Linked DNA regions of Danio rerio. The protein of the gene in region 4 interacts with the protein of the main gene of each other region in a pairwise test. Links are inferred from orthologs where the notes say so. Each region holds a gene or a part of one and is shown on either strand. Other genes may lie near its edges. The genes, in order: pex16, pex12, pex11b, pex19 and pex10.

Region 1 (3,518 bases), on a different chromosome or scaffold from region 4:
AATGACCACAGAGAGCCAGGACCTCAGTTTAACGTCTCATCCGAAAGACGGCGTTCACTAAGCAGTATGGAGTCCCCATCACTATACTGGGGCATTAGGACCCACAGAGACCGCAGGTTAAGCGCCACCTGCTGCTCTCACTAACGTCACTTCCGGCAGTAAACTAGCTTTCCCATCATACCATCTAGAATGGTATGAACTCTTTGAGTTAAAACTTGCTGTATAACATAAAATAATTTACATAGATGTGATTAGAAAAAGATAAGTGGTCTTAAAATTTGAAAATATAAAAAAAAAAGATCTACATATCAGACACAACTCTAAAAGCTATACTATACAGTACTACTATACTATACTTAAAAAATACCCAATAACAGCATTATATGTATTAATATATAGCCCTCTGGTGACCAAGAATAAAATAAAAAATGGAAATGTGCAAATATTTAAGAATAATGATAAAAGATATTGCAGATATTTTTATTGGAAATTATACTGGAGAATCTTCTGAAATCTATTGTGGTTAATAATTTAATATATTACAGTTTTAATCTTCTGTATATAAAAACACGTGATTACAGCACAAATATCAGTGGAAATCTGAGAATCACTCAGTTAGATCATTGTATTTGTTTATTAATATTTATTAGTTTTAACTAATGCTGGTATTTTGAAATAGACCATATTGTGAATTTATAAATAACAATACCTGCAAGTTTGAAGCGTACAAATATTATTATTAAATGTTATTAAATAAATTTAATCAAAGTGTATTAGAAAAAAACAAAGTTGTATTGAAAAAATATCACAATAATTAACCCTGAAAAAAGCAGCGCAAACACTACCAGGCTGCTGATGTGTTTGCGACAAGGAGGGACAAGGATGAATCCAGCTTCTTATTCAAAGCTTCTTATTGACGCTATCCGGTCCACCTAAAAACCGCGACGCTTTCTTTTTTCAGTTTCTTGTTCGCGCTCAAGAAAACACAGTTTAATCTAAGCAAGGGCTTATTATGCGGTCCTGGCACCATCTTGTGGAAAGACAACGTCTACTGTGTTTGACTAATGGAGACCAAAGCGCTGTCTCTTAGAAATTATAAATATTTTAAAATAGGCAATGCATACAGCATAGTTGCAATCATAACAACTACATTCTCGATTAAAACAGCCTCAAAAGTACATTATGTTGTCCAATAGGAGGAATATTAGTCAAACTGTAGAGCGTCCTCTGCTTTTATGTGGGCGGAGAAATACACAGAGGTGAAGAGGCCTTTGTGTGCTGTTACTGGCAAAATATCTCACAGCTATCAGCCAATCAGATTCAAGAACCTGACAGAACTGTTAAACCTAAAAAGAACCCCCTAAAAACTAATTTAATGACTTTTAATGCAGTTTACAATAAAAGTCATTAATAAATATAAGTCTTATAAATGTATCAGAAAACTTTGAAGTTCAGAAGTCAGAGTTAATTATTTTTAATCATTAACAGGAAATGAACCACACTAAAGTGTCTCTGGAAACCACAGCGCAGGACATTTAGCAGAGACACAACAAACAATTAACGCACAGCAATAATACAGAAATATTCCCACTGATGACAGTAAATAAACAGAGAGTGAGACAATAAGTCCAGCGTATGGCATGTGTAGATAAGCTGTGTTTGTGTGTTGTGTAGGGTTGTGCTCATTTGATTTGCCCTTGAACAGAAACACGGCAGTAACTTTGAGAAGCATCAGCTCTTGCAGTCTGTGTCAAAATAGTGATGTTTTGTTCATTCGTCACACACTTATATTCTACACAGACAACAATGAAGAAGAAGATGATGAAGACAGTTCTTTTGTGGGCCAGCGTTCAGGAAGAGTGGTCCGGCCACTGGGAAGTGGTAAGACTTTGTTTGTTTGGTTTGTTTGTTTTTTGTTGTGTTGCTTTGTTTTTGCTTTTATTCATTTTCTGTTTGTCTGTTTTGGGTTTTGCTTTGCTTTATTGTTTTGTACGTTTTTTTTTTGTTTTTGGTTGTTTGCTTTTAGTTGTGTTGTTTTGTTTTTGCGTATTCGTTTCCTTTTTGTTTTTTGTTTGTTTTGTTTGTATGTTTGTTTTTGTTGTGTTGTTTTGTTTTGTTTGTTTGTTTTTTTTTGTTTTGCTTTCCTTAATTGTTTTGTATGTTTTGTTTTTAATTTGCTTTGTCTGTTTTTGTTTATGCTTTTATAAATTTTTTGTTTAGTTCTGGGTTTTGCTTTGCTTTAATGTTTTTTGTTTTTTATTTTGTTTGTTTTTATTGTGTTTTTTGCTTTTTATTTGTTTTTGTTTTGTTAGTTTTGTTTTTTGTTGTATTGTTTTTTTTACTTTTATTATTTTTTTGTTTTGTTTTTCTTTTTGTTTTGTGTTTAGCTTTGCTGTGTATTGTTTTGTTGGTTTTTTTTATTTGTGTTTTGTTATTGCTTTTATTTGCTTTATTAAAAAATCAAAAATTGTCGGAAAATGCCTGATTTTTAATTATAACAAATGACAAATTTTTTCTTAAACAGTTACCAAAAATACGTAAGTCCTCTTAATTACATTTTTTTTTTTTTAATTTTGGAAGAAATATTTTCAGCTCTTTTAAAGAATAAAGCAAACATTAATATCTAAAATATATAATAATTAACTATATTAATTGGTATATAAACCAATATTGCCCAAACCCATTCCCAATGTGTTGAAAAAAATCTCTCCATTAAATAGAAATTGGGGAAAAAAATATAAAGGGGGCTAATAATTCTGCCTGTACACCTATACCTATATATTAATGATAAGAACACACAAAATACAAAATGAGAACTATAAAATTAAAATAACACAATCTTACATGCATTTCTAAATAGCTGGTAAAATACATGGTGGTCATTCTTGTAATAGTGTCCATTATTTATCCTTTAACCAAGTGTACAAAAATGGTTCCATGCCATTAAAAATGTGTAAGTGTATTTTTCTTTTTCTAGCACCATCATTACAGTCTCGTCTCTGGGGTCTCCCTCGGAAAAAGAAAGTAAGCAGGAATCAGGAAGAGGAGCTTTACTCCAGCCCGACTCCTCTGGGTCTGCAGGAAACCATCGCAGAATCCCTGTACATCGCAAGACCGCTTCTGCACCGTATCCTTCCTCAGTGTTTCACAACAATATCAGTGCAATATTAACCCAGAGGTGTAGAAACAATCTCAGGGGTGTAGGAACATCAATAAGTCGAAGTCATGTAGTTTTATTAGATTTTCACCATGTTCAGTCCACTACTGTTGTGTGATCGGCACATTGTGTGGCACATTTTTTTTTTTTCATAGCATAATCAAGTATTTCCAAGAAAACAAGATGATTTAATGTAGTAATTCTCACTTGTTTTGACTTGAAGGCTGCTTCTTTTTGTCCCAAGCACTATTTGAAGGCCAACACTTGTAGTCTCTAAATGGTGTTTCATGCCTGCAGAAGTGCTTGTGTTTTTCAAGGTTGCCGGCCTTTTGCATGGCTTTTAGTTGTTTATTGGATGATG
Region 2 (4,274 bases), on a different chromosome or scaffold from region 4:
TGAGATATGACAGTTTAACCCCGGCAAGCCACAGAAGTGGAGAATGTGTCCGTGTTTTGCCGAAAACGTACAAAAGCTGTTGGCAGAAGACCCAGCCGTCCCACGCCATGCACACGAAAGGATACGCAGCCAAAAACGCCCTGTACATCTTCTGCAGGAAGGACTGCGGCAAGCGGATGGAGAAATCGTCCTCGTCTCTCTGTCGCGCCAGGATTTTCTCCAGTTTGGTGTGCAGGTATGGAATGAGGGCCAGCAGGAGTAAAGAGCGCCAGTGTTGCCTCCGCCGCAGTCCCAAATGGGCAGCACGGGCACTATGTGATCCCACACGCTTCAGGCCATAGAAGTTCTCTGAAAATGAGGCGCTGGTGCGGGACAGGAAGTGATGCTGCAATAACATATCCAGGATTACGTAAATCTCATCAAACCTCCTCCAGAGAACTCCATAGCGGGCAGGGTTAGATGTAGCGAGAATCTGTGGAATGTAAATACGGTAGTTACATTTTTTAAGGATATTTTTAGGGTTGTTCCGATACCGATACTAGTATCAGGAATACTTGCTGATACTGCAAAAATTCTGGCATCTGTGAAACCATAAACCAATCTGATACCATCTCTTTAAATGAGACTTATGCCTGCTGGCTTTACTTGGAGCTAGCAGTATACACCAGTGGTTCCCAAAGTGGGGGTCATGAGACAATGAGGAGGGGTTGCTTGGTGATTTCCAAAAATATCATATATGTTATTAAACTATTAGAATAACCATATTTTAGCCATAACCTACAGAAGATAAAAACAGTATTTATTAGTTGCATCAAATCGAAGAAGTAGTGCAGTAGGTAGTGCTGTCGCCTCACAGCTAGAAGGTCGCTGGGTCGAGCCTCAGCTCAGTTGGCGTTTCTGTGTGGAGTTTGCATGTTTTCCCTGCGTTTTCCCTGCAAAACCCGCGGGTTTCCTCCGGGTGCTCCGGTTTCCCCCACAGTCCAAAGACATGCGATACAGGTAAACTGGGTAGACTAAATTGTCCTTAGTGTATGAGTGTGTGTGTGAATGTGTGTGTGGATGTTTCCCAGAGATGGGTTGCGGCTGGAAGGGCATCCGCTGCGTAAAAACTTGCTGGATAAGTTGGAGGTTCCTTCCGCTGTGGCGACACCGGATTAATAAAGGGACTAAGCCGACAAGAAAATGAATGAGTTGCATAAAATAACAACATGCAAAAAAAAGGCTCTAGCCTTTTAATTCTTTTTCCATTGGATTGGGACCCCTGGGGTTATTACGCTAGACACACCAATAGTGTTAATTGCAGCAGACCTTAGATTTTACGACACAATTTTACATTTTGATACCTTTACAGCACTCACGTACACTATATATATATATATACATACACACATATATATATACATCATGCTCAACATAAATGAGTACACCCCATTTGCAAAATTAATATTTTAATCCATTTTTAAGAGAATAACGGTCATATATTTTGGTACATAACCGATATGTTTATTGAAATAATGCTTTAGTCATCGAACATCTTTAGAAATGGAAGGACGATACATTATTTATGGGACATATTGCAGAAAATATAAACAAATTACAAAATTTTAACAAAATATTATAGATTTTTTTGTTTCTCTTGATTTTTTCTCTTTTTTATCTTTATTTAATGGTTTTTCCCAAACATACATTTGTATGTACCAATTTTGGACTGTAATAAGTTTTTTGTTAGATTAGCTCCAAATTTGGCTTCAGAACTGACTAATCTAATATATTTGCACAAATATTGTAAAGCATCCTATTGAAAATGTGAATTTAACTGAGAGATCTGTGAGGTGTGCACTCATATATGCTGAGAACTGTATATATGTAATTAATATACACGTATAAATAATACATTTACTGTACTTTACCTTAATAGAAAGGAATCATTCTACAAGTAATATTTTAAATAGATTATTATTAATAATACAAAGGAAATACATTCCAAATAATGTTTTGGACACATTTATTACACTAGTGTTTTACAAGTGTACTCATAGTCTTTATGAAGAAACCAGACAGGCACATTTTACACCTGCCCTAAATTGAGTTCCTTTTGATCTTCTTTCTTTGACATACTATCTAGGGATCCTTATATTCCTGTGAAACCCTGCCCAATAATAGCAATTTTTTGCTTTACCTCCTAATGACGCTTTACGTAGTTTCATATTGATCTTACTGTTTTCGCCTCATTGCTAAACACTGTATTTGATTGCAACTTCCTCACGATGCTGTCATTGATGTTTCAGTCAGCATCCCCGTAATGGCGTGTAATAATGCGCCTACATAAATTCTGATAGTTTTACCGTAAAAAAGAAGCCACAAAGTAAACGATGGAGCATAATATGGGAAAATGGACTATTTATTTTATCCATGCGCTATTTATCGTCACAGTCCAAAACTCAAGGAGTACAAATGCAGGAGTACAGTATGATGAAAAAGCGAGCATACCTTGACAGCATGCAGTAAAGCGGGTTTGACAGCGGTCATTAAAGAGTCCTGCGCTAAAACCTCAAACACTGAGGGTCGATCTTCAGCCGGGGCAGCTGTGGTTAAATGAGCTCCTCGCTCCGCCATCACACCTGATGAGGAAAACTACTGCAAACAACAATAACGCCTTCCTACAGGTACGTCAGTCGAGCCTTTTAATGAGGACAATGGTGCTCATTTTACCAAACAAAATAATTCAGGAGAGTTACAGTGCTGGAAATCAACGCACTGGTCAACGGTCATCATCTGTCGCAACACTTTTTTTTCCCTGTCAGACGCGTTTTCTTCTTGGGGCTTTAACATCAATAAAACGGGTTTGTACTGACACCTGCTGTGCTGGAGGGTTCATGATAATCTACTGTAGACCTACAATCTGTGTGTGTATTTCGTAGAGTTTTACATTTTATAGGACAATTGAATTTAGATAAAAAGGAACCAAAGGAATCATATGAATAAATCCTTTAAAGATGAATCAAATGAATCACTTGCATATATCAACCTGTGGCGTCACAGCGGCGCAGTGGGGTGCACGATCGCCTCACGGCAAGAAAGCCGCTGGTTTGAGCCCCTGCTGGGTCAATTGGCAATTCTGTGTGGAGTTTGCATGTTCTCCTCAAACTTGTGTGTGTTTCCTCTGGGTGCTCCGGTTTCCCCCACAGTCCAAAGACATGCGGGTATAGTTGAATTGGATAAACTAAATTGTGTGTGTATACATACATGCATACATACATGCATAACGTTGCAATCAGTACTATTAAACCCTGTTTGAATTTTTTTTTCTTTTTTAAATATTTCCCAAATTATGTTTAACAGAGCAAAGAAATTTTCACAGCATGTCTGATAATATTTTTTCTTCTGGAGAAAGTCTTATTTGTTTTATTTCGGCTAGAATAAAAGCAGTTTTTTAATTTTTTATGAACCATTTTAAGGTCAAAATAATTAGCCCCTTTAAGCTATATTTTTTCGATAGTCTACAGAACAAACCATCTTAATACAATAACTTGCCAAATAACCCTAGCCTGCCTAGTTAACCTTATTAACCTAGTTAAGCCTTTAAGTCACTTTAAGCTGTAGAAGTGTCTTGAAAAATATCTAGCAAAACATTATTTACTGTCATCATGGCAAAGATAAAATAAATCAGTTATTAGAAATGAGTTATTATAACTATTATGTTTAGATAGCCGTTTGAGTTGTGAATGAGCCAAATAGGCTTAAAACACCTGTTTACTGTAGTAAAAACCACTTTCTATAATCAAGTACATTTTTTGCTTCCATGTTTAAAAAAAATCAAAACAGCCACTTTTCTAATTAAACTGTGAATTTAAACATATATAAACATTAAAACTACAGGCTAATTCACACATTTCATGATCTGATTCATAATAAATAAGGCTTTTTTAAAATACCACAACACTTGATGTTTCCATCTCTAACAGTGACTCTGGCAGTTTAAATGAGTACATTCACTAAGTGGTTCTGTCACTGTGTTTAATCCTTTCTGAGCAAGACTGTATGGTATAGTTAATGCCACAGGCACTTTAATGTGTTTTATTTTGGTAGTTCATTTTGAAATTTAAATAGCGAAATGTTCGATATGAGGCGAGGCAGTAGCGCAGTAGGTAGTGCTGTTGCCTCACAGCAAGAAGGTCGCAGGATCAAACCTCGGCTCAGTTGGCGTTTCTGTGTGGAGTTTGCATGTTCTCCCTGCCTTCGCGTGGGTTTCCTCCGGGTGCTCCAGTTTCCCC
Region 3 (3,009 bases), on a different chromosome or scaffold from region 4:
TGTACAGTGTTGCCATTTGGAAACACATACATTTAAACGATTTACAGAAAACTTAATAAAAAAAAAAAAGAATGAATATGATGAACGAATGAATATGTCATCATAACTTACTGGAGGTGATGTTTCAGATTTTTTTTATGGATCTGACATGAGTTGTTGTTTATTGATGTTTACATTTGCATTCAGCAATACTCGCAATAAACGCCAGTCTGTGAGAAATCATGCCACAGAAAAACACTGCATGTCATGTGGCTTAACCAAAGCACATCATTGGCTACACTAAGGTCTTCTCTTTCCAAAAAAAAAACTTTAATATTGGTCTTAAAGAAACAATGGCAGGGAAATTAAAGCAAATATCATGTCTTTGGCAACACCATGCAGTATATATAATAAAATATCCATCATAAGCACAGCAAAGCTGTACATATTAGGGTAAAAATACGATAAAAAGTAGCTGGTACACTATATTCATCATTATAAAGCTGTTTTAGTTTGAATTTTTTTTTTCTTTGTTTGATATATAATACAGTTTTATTGTGTACTGATATTACTGTATGTCTAATACAGTGGCTTTCTTCTAGTTTCCCCTTAAGTCCAAAAACATGCGGTATAGGTGAATTTGGTAGGCTAAATTGTCCGTAGTGCATGAGTGTGAATAATTGTGTTTGAATGTTTCCTAGTAATGGTGGGTTGCAGGCGAAAGGGCATCTGCTGCGTAAAACTTGCTATATAAGTTGGCGGTTCATTCCGCTGTAGCGACCCCAGATTAATAAAGGGACTAGCCCGAAAAGAAAATGAATGAATGAATGAATGAATGAATGTCGAATAATTGTATGGCATGAAATGATGTTCTCACACAGTAGAGCTTCTATATATGGTACAGAAAATATTTTTTTTATATTTACAAACTTTGTTGTCTCACTGATATAGCTTAAAATAAGTGCTGGTTTATTTTTATACAGATATTTATTTGAATGGTCTGTTATAAAAATGTGAAATTTCATGACATGCTCAAAATGTCATATATTTAAAAAAAATGTATGTGAAATTGTTGAATCTTTTCACCCCACATTGTTCTCCAATGTAAGTTTCATATAAGCAACTACAGTGCATACTACAGTACATACAGTATGCCTCCTAAAAACTCACAAATTTGATTTGTGATCATACACATCCTCAATGTTAATATGCCTCAGTGTTTGAGTGCGTTTTGTGTGTTTTTGTCAGTGATGTGGTTGGGAAACTCAGCTGAAGCTCTGGAAGCCGCCAAACGCACTGTTCATCTGTCAGACTGTGTGTTGCGTCTCTGCATCACAGTGGCTCATTTGAACAGAGCCATGTATTTTGCCTGTGATAATGTACTGTGGGCCGGAAAAACAGGACTGCTGCCTGAACTGGACCAAAACAAATGGAGCCAGAGATCATTTAGGTGTGTTTTTTTTTTTTGTCTACTTTAAACCTGTTCCTTTTATTAAGTGAATAATTTAGTTTAAAAATGTTATAACCAGACATTAACTTGACATTTGATGTTTATTTTGTATTAGTATTTTTAATGAGTAAATAGTTTCTATATTTAATTTAGGTTTTAAATAAGACATGTAATTTTGGCATTTTCATCTAATACAATTTAGAAAGCATAAATGCAAGTAAAGTGTATCATTTTTAAGTTTTTTTATTATTATTATTTTAAAATGTAGGTCAAATAATGATTTGATGAGATTGCAAACTGAACAACAAAATATGCTGAAATGGACTCAAATCATCTTACTAAAGTTTTATTATATTTTTAATTATTAAAGTCTTGCTGTCAAATGGATAAAACTTAAAGTATAAGTATAGAAAGATAAAGTATAAAGATTTAAAAATACAATTCATTTGTGTTTTGTAGCTTAAATTGTCTTTTTTAAATCAACTACACTAAAAGTCTTTAAATATAATGCCATCAGTTAATTTTAGTTTATATGTCTTCCAAAATTTTAATATGTCATGCAGGCAGTATATATAAAGTAGATCAATAACAATAATTTAGTATGAGATTTATTTAGATTACTTTTATAATAAATGAAGATTGATGATTTTTCTGCTAATTTAAACGACTATAAAAGCAGCCACCAGGGGTCGCCAATAAATTAAAATGTAAATTTAAAGGGATAGTTCACCCAAAATGAAAACTGACAGTATTTGTTAGGGGTGTAACGGATCACAACCCACAGTTCGGATTACACGTGACCCCCAGATAATTTTTTTTTTAACCTATAGGTTAATTTGATATTCATAATGATTGCACAGAGATCACCTCACACGTCATTCAAATCAGTGTATGAAAGCATTTTGACTTCCCTGTAATATATAATGATGACAAAAAGTTGTGATGGGACCCACCTAAATGCTTTCTTAGGTTATCTATTAAATATGTGTTTTTTTGTCACTGTTTGTTTAGCCTAGGCTAATGCATTCAGTGTAAGCTGCACAATTAAACATTAGAAGATTGTGATCTCAATTCAAACCCGCGCAACATGAATGATAAATGATAATGATTTGCATATGTTTATTAATCCTTCAAAGCAATGCGTTCAAATCTGCATATTATCGAGAGAGATGCAGTTTTTACACTTTTTGTCAGTTTGTCACAAACAATTAAAAAGCACAGAAGAACTGGGAGAACAGTTTATAGTCCAGATATAAACACTGATATTTATGGTAAAGATTAAAATCAACATTTAATGGAACTTGACGCTGGTGAATGTTGTAGCAATTGCATTGTGCAACCAACCATCCAAATGATGTCACTGAATAGGTTTTCAAAAAACGATCCAAAACATAAAGTTTAATGTGAAAATTGTTGAATCATTCATTGAAAATAAATATGTTGTACGAGATGTTAGATTTCTATAATTATCATTATCAGAAACAGTAGCAAAGATCATTTTTCGTATTGAATATTTTCCTTTTTTTTTAGCTGGTTCTTTTTTTATTTTTATTTGATTTAAAAACAGGTTCTAAGTTCTA
Region 4 (4,132 bases):
GCTGTGTGATCGGCTCTTAGATCAATATAGAGTGGAAAAAAGTCCAGAGCTTATTATTATTGACTAATTATCAAGATTTGATTTAATATAGATTATTAACCCAGCCTCATTTCAAACACAGATTTCTTTACTACACATTTATAAAAAACAAAGAAAAAAAAACCCACCTTGACCTTTCCAAACCTTGAAACTGGTTATCATCCCATGCCTACTTACAGACCTATGTTGTCTTACCTGTATATTATTCCTCAATGGCTTTTTATTGTTGTTTAATGGTGTTGAATGTAAGTATTGTTGTAATTATTCTTCATTTTGTAGAATTTTGTTCATGCATAATTTACACTATACAATAAATTATTTATTCTACACATTTGCTTTCCTTTCAACATAACAACAGTGAATTTCTATTCTACAGACCTCTCCAGAAGTAGAGATGAAACTGTCCACAAATAAAGGCGTATAATCATAAATAATCATAAATATTACCCAAATTGTATTACCACATTTACACAAATGTAAAATACATTTCATTTCTCTCTTCAGACCCACATTGTCATGGCAAAAAATCTCGCATTTTGTGAAACATTTTTCAAGTACACAATACGTTATACATTCCTTTTCATAAAGAAATGAACAATTATAATCATAAATTAAAGCAGACAACGTGAGAAAACATTTTCTCTCCACCTATTGAGTGAACAAAGCGGCTCCAGGTACAGTTCGGTATCATTTCATTCATTTGTTCACGACACAATTTATGCAACATTTAAGGCGGTGGACGTTACTAAAAAAGCACTGGAATAAAAAAAAACACTCGCTACACTTTTCTGCCTCTGTTAGTTTCTCATAAATGAAACAAAGAGTTTTTGTAATTCAGTCTAGTCGTGGGGGCGTACATTTTACAAGCCGCCCGCAGCAGGACGTCGCTCTTCCGGTCATGCTGGTGTAAGATTACCTCGCCATTGTTAAGGTTTCGTCTCTTAGCTACAGAAATACAACCTTGTAGAATTACACAGCATGCTTAAAAATGTAAGTAAAGGCTGCAAAATATATCTAACATCAAAACAGCATCCAACACGAGGCCTCAATCCCCACACACCGTCCCCGTATTTTCGCGATGACTCGTCCTGTAAATCCCATGCAACTCTCGAGTTCAAACTCGAGCAGGCTGCGCTAAGAGGCCTAACCCGCATAAAGCCAGGCCTCAGACACCGAAGGGGTTATAACGTTACTAAACCCTGATAAACACGATTAAACGCAACTTTAAAGACATAAACACACGTTACATGTATATTTGGACCCTTACCGACTTCAACGTCTCTCCGAATCTGCAGATGAATGAACGCACGCGGAGCTTTAGCGGAACGTGGCTTTTTGGCGCTGCGCTCTTGTGACACAAAAAACACGCCACAAGGGAGCTCAGCAGAGGAAGCGGAAGTCTCGACCCCTCCCACATTCGCAATCCATTCAAATGCAGATAAACCGCCGCTTATGATACAACTAGATAGTTTTTACGTGTTTTTGTCTCTTCTATTGTCGTTTTTCCATTTCTTTTTATTTGGGGGAAGATTTTACAGCACAAGTAAGTAAACATGAAGCATCTAAAGAATCTCCCGTCATGATGCGAACAAGACGAACACACTCAAACGAGGAATAAGAACAAATAGCAAGAATAAACATTGTAGAAAATGACAAAAAATACAGTAGATGAATAAATACGTTGACACTGGCCGATATTTGATATAGTCTAAATCAGGCTCGTAGCCAGCCTGGTGAAAGGGATGGTTTTCTTTTTCTAAAAAGTGGACCTTTTTGCAGTTATTCGCTTCATTTTCTTTTTAATTGTGAGGTTTAAATGCTGATTTAGAGATATTTTAAGCATTATTTTAGCTGGATTAGCTTATCAGATGGTCAACATACCACACTTTTTGATGTACTAAAAATATTTACTAAAGATTTAAAATGAAGAAACATGAAGAAAAAATACTTATTTTTAACTTAATATACTTAACTTTATTACCCTAACTTATCCTATATAATTAGAAAAAAATGTAATCTGTTAAAGTTTTAAATTTAAAATGGTTGTCATTTATTAGGCAAATAACAAACTGAGCATCAAATTCAATTTCCTCAGGCAGAATTTTTCCATTTGAATATTGAATCATTAAAACAGTAATGATAATAATGTAGAGCTTGACAATTTTCCAGCCTCTTTTGTAAAAAATAGTACATTTGAAAATTCATCGATTACAACAATAGTCAAATCATTATTATAATTAACGTCTAGGTGCTTTACACTTTTTTATTGGTCATTTTTTCTTTCAAAAATAAGGTTCAAGACTTAGAATAAAAGTTCATTGTAAAATGTTTTTGCTATTTAACAACAATACAATATGTCAGTGGTGAAAGATGACTTCATTTATGACACATTCTGCTTGGTCTTAAAGCTATTGATATCTTAATTTCACAATTTATGATGGCTTAGCAATCAAAATGGGACAAATGAGCTCACGTATGATACAAAATCTGGACCTTTGTCTGTGGGGGGGGTGGGTCTTTCGAACTACACAAATCCACTCTGGCTACGGGTCTGTAAGTAGTTGAAGCTCTGAAATACTTTCACAAAATATAATTAGCATTTTTTTCTGCTGACCCAAATAAATGTGTGATATTTGCCCTGCAATGAAACAAAATTCATGATACAGGAAAAATGAGAACTTAAATCTGATTTTAAAAATGTTGTCTTGTTGAACAATGGTCTATATGCACAGCTGTTTTTCAGCTAATGAATTTCCAGTGAAAGGTGTATGTGACTATTTTCAGTTTCATACGGTTCTTTTTACCGCATCAATGTCGTAATGTGATTCAAATATAATCGGTTAAATAGACTTAAGCATTCGTTTTGGTTGTTAAAGAGTAAAAAGGGATGTAAGACCATTTAAATAAAGGTAGGGGCCGTCATTAGCAGCAGGCTAGCGCAGAGACTCAATTGAAAATACTGTGGTAAAATAAATGTTTTAAAGACATGGCTGTGCAGTGCTTCTCATCCAATCTGAGACCCACTTTATCCCGGATATCTATCAGGCAGTGATGATCACAGATTTTTCAGAGTTTAATAGTTTTATTGATTCTCGGGCAAATTTCAGAATGGAATACAGTATATAACTCTGTAAAGAACCAACAGTTTACCCTATTAACAAACCCAACCCAAACTAATCCCTAACTACGACTTTAAGGTCTCGGCTTAGCTGTCATTAAATACAGTTAAAGCCTCCATCTTTATATAATAAAGAGAAAATAAAATACAATAAAAAAAATGAATAGGTAAGTTCAGTCAATAACATATCACAGTTACACTGTCACAATCAGTATGTTTCTCACACATTTATTACTATTCCATTTACAAACAGGTTAAGTACTTGGACCAGTTTTATAGTTTAGGTTTAGCTTTAGTCCATTTGCTTATAAGACATTTTCTTCCAAATGTGGCCACTCTAGCAAGTTCTACCGGCCATTTTTGAAGGGAAGGGGCATCCTCTGATTTCAAACTCATGAGAATTATTTGTCTCCCAATCAGCAAACTGGTTTGGACCCAGGATTTTATGTCTTAATTTTTTATTTCAATGTCTATCCAACCACCTAACCACCTAGTATAGTCTAGGGCATAATGTGATATAAAAATCTACAACCAAACAAATGTGTTTATGAACTCTTTTCCAGAAATCTAGAATTTTTTGTACAAGACCATAGAGCATGAACTAGATTCTGGCTGACTGAAATTAAAAATCTGTGTGCATATACCCCATTGTCTTCATTTTTACCAACAGCCAGCAATGCATTTGTAGCCAACATTAAAAAACAAACAAATTTTTTATTCAGTAGTATCTATTTTATTGTGCAAAGTAAATGCCTTGGTGTGTAAATAAAACATCTATAAAAATATGAATAGTCACACCTTAGAAATTCAGGAAAACATGGAGTGCTTTATGTATTAGAATAGATAATAACAAGTGATATATAAAAAGACATTAAAATGTAATATGCAGGCATTTAGGAATATTGTTTAAAGATATTTGGATGTTTTTAGTCCTGGTCCAGAATTCGATACTCTTGTGGGACTGGGTATCTCATT
Region 5 (3,518 bases), on a different chromosome or scaffold from region 4:
ATTTGGTTTCATGGCTTTGCAAAAATAATTCCATTTGCTAAAACGGAGAGAAAGTTGTGGCCAAATTAAGACACAAAATCACCCCAGAGGGAATGAAAACATCCCCAACAGAACACAGCACACAGTTTTTTTTTAGTTTGAAACAATACAGTTCACAGTGCGTTTTTAGGGACAACTTAAATGTTTTTATATTCAATCAACTTAAAATTGTAAGAAGGATTAAGATGGTGTTATTGATTTGCATTGAGACAACATGAAACAATTGTGTTGAAGAAAATGTGTGCATTTTTTTTTTACAGTAAACATCTGCATAATTACAAAATTAAACATAATTAAAAGAAAATGTATCAGATTGAAATGTGTAAAAGTGTCTTGTTTTGCACAAAACAATACACTTAATAATTCCCAAATCATGAAATCCTTAAATTACTGTCTGTTTTGCAATCCCTGAGAGAATGTGAAAAAGCAACAGAGTCAAATTTCCATCACGATCACCTCAAGGTCTACTTGTAGCTTCTCAAATAAACCAATCTGTGAGGCTGGAATTTCTCTCGACACAGCGGGCATTCATTCTACGATGAAAGAAACCAAGAAAAAAAAAACTGATCAGACATCGGTAATGTTAAACTTCACAGCATCACTTCACAGCTATATGAAGGTCTTGCCTTGGTATTGCACCACTCGGTAATGCACTCCCAGCAGAAAAGATGGCCGCAGGGAGTGCTGGTGGTGTTTCTGCGCTCCTCCAAACACAAGATACAGCGTGAAGTGCGAGACGACGACTGACTGACCTGATGACTGAAGAGAAAAACGGCGAATGAGTAACGAGAGAAAGCATTAAATAACAAACGATTCATTTAAGGACTTCAGAAAAGATGATAAAAAAATACAATGGTCAGTAATTAAAAAAGAAGATGAAAAAAATATAGATTCTGATTGGCTGGAAAATAAAAACACACAATAACAGAAGGAAGAAAAAAATTTGATCATATATACAGTGCATCCGGAAATTATTCATAGCACTTCAGGGAAATTATTTATAGCACTTCACTTTTTCCACATTTGTTTATATTACAGCTTTATTCCAAAATTGATTAAATTCATTTGTTACCTTAAAATTCTACACACAATACCCCATAATGAAAATGAGAAAAAAGAAAAAAGATTTTTTGAAATTGTTGCAAATTTATAAATAAATAAATAAATAAATATATATATATATATATATATATATATATATATATATATATATATATATATATATATATATACAAATCACATGTACATCAGTGTTCACAGCCTTTGCTCAATACTTTGTTGATGCACCTTTGGCAGCAATAACAGCCTCAAGTCTTTTTGGATAAGACGCCACAAGCTTGGCACACCTGTCTTTGGGAATTTTTGCCCATTCCTGTACCTCTCAAGCTCTATCAGGTTGGATAGGAAGCGACAGTGTACAGATATTTGCAGGTCTCTCCAGAGATGCTCAATAGGATTTAGATCTGGGCTCTGGCTGGGCCACTCAAGGACATTCACCAAGTTGTTGTGAAGCCACTCCATTGATATTTTGGCGGTGTGCTTTGGGTCATTGCCCTGCTGGAAGTTGAACCGTCGACCCAGTCTGAAGTCAAGAGCAGGTTTTCATTCAGGATGTACATTGCTGCATTCATCTTTCCCTCTATCCTGACTAGTCTTCCAGTTCCTGCTGCTGTAAAACATCCCCATAGCATGATGCTGCCACCACCATGCTTCACTGTAAGGATGATGTTAGCCTGGTGATGAGCGGTGTCTGGTTTTCTCCGGACGTAACGCCTGGCATTCACTCCATCAAAGACAATATATTAATGTAATTTAAATATATAAAATTTGAATTGATGTTTACTTAAAACTTTAATTAGTTTAGTTTAGTTTGTTTATATAGCACATTTTTTACAACACAACGTTGGCCAAAGTGCTGAACACAATCAATACTAAACATGAAATCTACATCACATAAATAACAATTAAAACATAAGGCAAATCCCTCAACATTAAAAAGGCTCAAATACTAAAGAACAAAGATGGTGTTTCAAACGCTTTTTAAAAACAGGTAGAGTTGGAGCATGTCTAAATTATATTGTTCTGATAAAAGATTTTTTTTTAAAGATTTTGTTAAATAAAAGATTTTTCTAGAGTCATCCACCCTAATTTTGTGGCTCAAAAGTATCGGTTCAGGCACCGGTATCATTTTAAAAGTATCGATTTAGCACCGGTATCGAAAAAAAAAAACGTAAAAAAAAAACGATACCCAACCCTTTCATTGGGTTATCGATCACCTCCCTGATTAAGGCTATTCTCCCCGATCACTCAGCTTAGATGGCCGGCCAGCTCTACGAAGAGTCCTGGTGGTTCCAAACATTTTCCACTTACAGATGATAGAGGCCACTGTGCTCATTGGAACTTTCAGAGAAGCAGAAATTTTTCTGTAACCTTCCCCTGCCTTGTGCCTCGAGACAATCCTTTTTCGGAGGTCTACAGACAATTCCTTTGTCTTCATGCTTGGTTTGTGCTTTGACATGCACTGTCAACCCAGGGACCTGATATAGACAGGTGTATGCCTTTTCAAATCATGTCCAATCAACTGAATTTACCACAGGTGAACTCCAATTAAGCTGCTGCAACATCTCAAGAATGATCAGTGCAAAAAGAATGTACCTGAGCTCAATTTAGAGCTTCACGGCAAAGGCTGTTAATACTTCTGTACATGTGATTTTTTTTTCAGGTTTTTTATTTTAAAATAAATTTGCAACAATTAAAAAAATATTTTTTCACATTGTCATTATGGGGTATTGCGTGTAGAATTTTGAGGAAATAAATTAATTTAATCCATTTTGGAATAAGGCTGTAACTTCAAAAAAATGTGGAAATGCGCTATGAATACTTTCCGTATGCACTGTATATTTGCTTAAGTCCATAACTGAAAAGTATTATCACATTTATCAGTTTTAGTTTGATGTTTTTTTTGTTAACTTAATCGATTTGTTTTGGGACAACATAAATAAATTGTGTGGAACCAAGCATTTTTTACAGTTAATAAAAAAACTGTAGGAATATGAAAGGTTGAATCATCAGACAACATGCAGTGCTTTATGTGCAGAGCTGTACACCTGGGGAGAAGGTTTCTGTGCTGTTTCCATTCATGCCGAGCTCTTTGTCGTTGCCTGAGGTTGTTGAACTGCAGTGTGAGAGTGATGGCCAGCTGGAGAACAGACAGGCCACCCAGCAGACGGTAACTGTGACTGATCCTGGGGTCATCGCCGGACGCATTTCCCACTCTTAGCTAAACAAAACATACTCACAGTTACGCAGAGTAGACAATTTAAATCTCTAAACCAGTGGTTCTCAAACTTTTTTCACCAAGTACCACCTCAGAAAAAATTGTCTCTCCAACTACCACCATAATAAACAGTTGGCCAAATTAAGCATCTACAGCACAGCACGGTTCGAAGACGAGGCAGAGTCATATTCATTCAACAAAA

What was found.
Region 1: the proteins of pex19 (region 4) and pex16 interact in binary tests that used the Homo sapiens proteins (3 or more experiments, as listed by UniProt). The link is inferred for Danio rerio from reciprocal best matches to the Homo sapiens genes PEX19 and PEX16.
Region 2: the proteins of pex19 (region 4) and pex12 interact in a two-hybrid assay, tested with the Homo sapiens proteins (4 studies listed by BioGRID and IntAct, with this or other methods). The link is inferred for Danio rerio from reciprocal best matches to the Homo sapiens genes PEX19 and PEX12.
Region 3: the proteins of pex19 (region 4) and pex11b interact in binary tests that used the Homo sapiens proteins (3 or more experiments, as listed by UniProt). The link is inferred for Danio rerio from reciprocal best matches to the Homo sapiens genes PEX19 and PEX11B.
Region 5: the proteins of pex19 (region 4) and pex10 interact in a two-hybrid assay, tested with the Homo sapiens proteins (4 studies listed by BioGRID and IntAct, with this or other methods). The link is inferred for Danio rerio from reciprocal best matches to the Homo sapiens genes PEX19 and PEX10.

Annotation. Positions count from the first base shown.
Region 1 is NC_133193.1:47,886,218-47,889,735, reverse strand, and holds part of pex16 (peroxisomal biogenesis factor 16), read left to right. Parts: intron 1-1,800; coding exon 1,801-1,881; intron 1,882-2,977; coding exon 2,978-3,127; intron 3,128-3,518. UniProt on the Homo sapiens protein: Required for peroxisome membrane biogenesis. May play a role in early stages of peroxisome assembly. Can recruit other peroxisomal proteins, such as PEX3 and PMP34, to de novo peroxisomes derived from the endoplasmic reticulum (ER).
Region 2 is NC_133180.1:67,482,253-67,486,526, forward strand, and holds the start of pex12 (peroxisome assembly protein 12), read right to left. Parts: upstream 2,807-4,274; 5' UTR 2,617-2,806; coding exon 2,491-2,616; intron 473-2,490; coding exon 1-472. UniProt on the Homo sapiens protein: Component of a retrotranslocation channel required for peroxisome organization by mediating export of the PEX5 receptor from peroxisomes to the cytosol, thereby promoting PEX5 recycling.
Region 3 is NC_133194.1:26,481,241-26,484,249, forward strand, and holds part of pex11b (peroxisomal membrane protein 11B), read left to right. Parts: intron 1-1,227; coding exon 1,228-1,429; intron 1,430-3,009. UniProt on the Homo sapiens protein: Involved in peroxisomal proliferation. May regulate peroxisome division by recruiting the dynamin-related GTPase DNM1L to the peroxisomal membrane. Promotes membrane protrusion and elongation on the peroxisomal surface.
Region 4 is NC_133177.1:40,112,232-40,116,363, forward strand, and holds the start of pex19 (peroxisomal biogenesis factor 19), read left to right. Parts: upstream 1-1,319; 5' UTR 1,320-1,338; coding exon 1,339-1,582; intron 1,583-3,101; exon of another isoform or gene 3,102-4,083; coding exon of another isoform or gene 4,084-4,132. Other genes in the region: tspan37 (tetraspanin 37), read right to left, coding at 4,084-4,132. UniProt on the Homo sapiens protein: Necessary for early peroxisomal biogenesis. Acts both as a cytosolic chaperone and as an import receptor for peroxisomal membrane proteins (PMPs).
Region 5 is NC_133183.1:57,048,149-57,051,666, forward strand, and holds the end of pex10 (peroxisome biogenesis factor 10), read right to left. Parts: intron 3,320-3,518; coding exon 3,147-3,319; intron 799-3,146; coding exon 666-798; intron 573-665; coding exon 504-572; 3' UTR 163-503; downstream 1-162.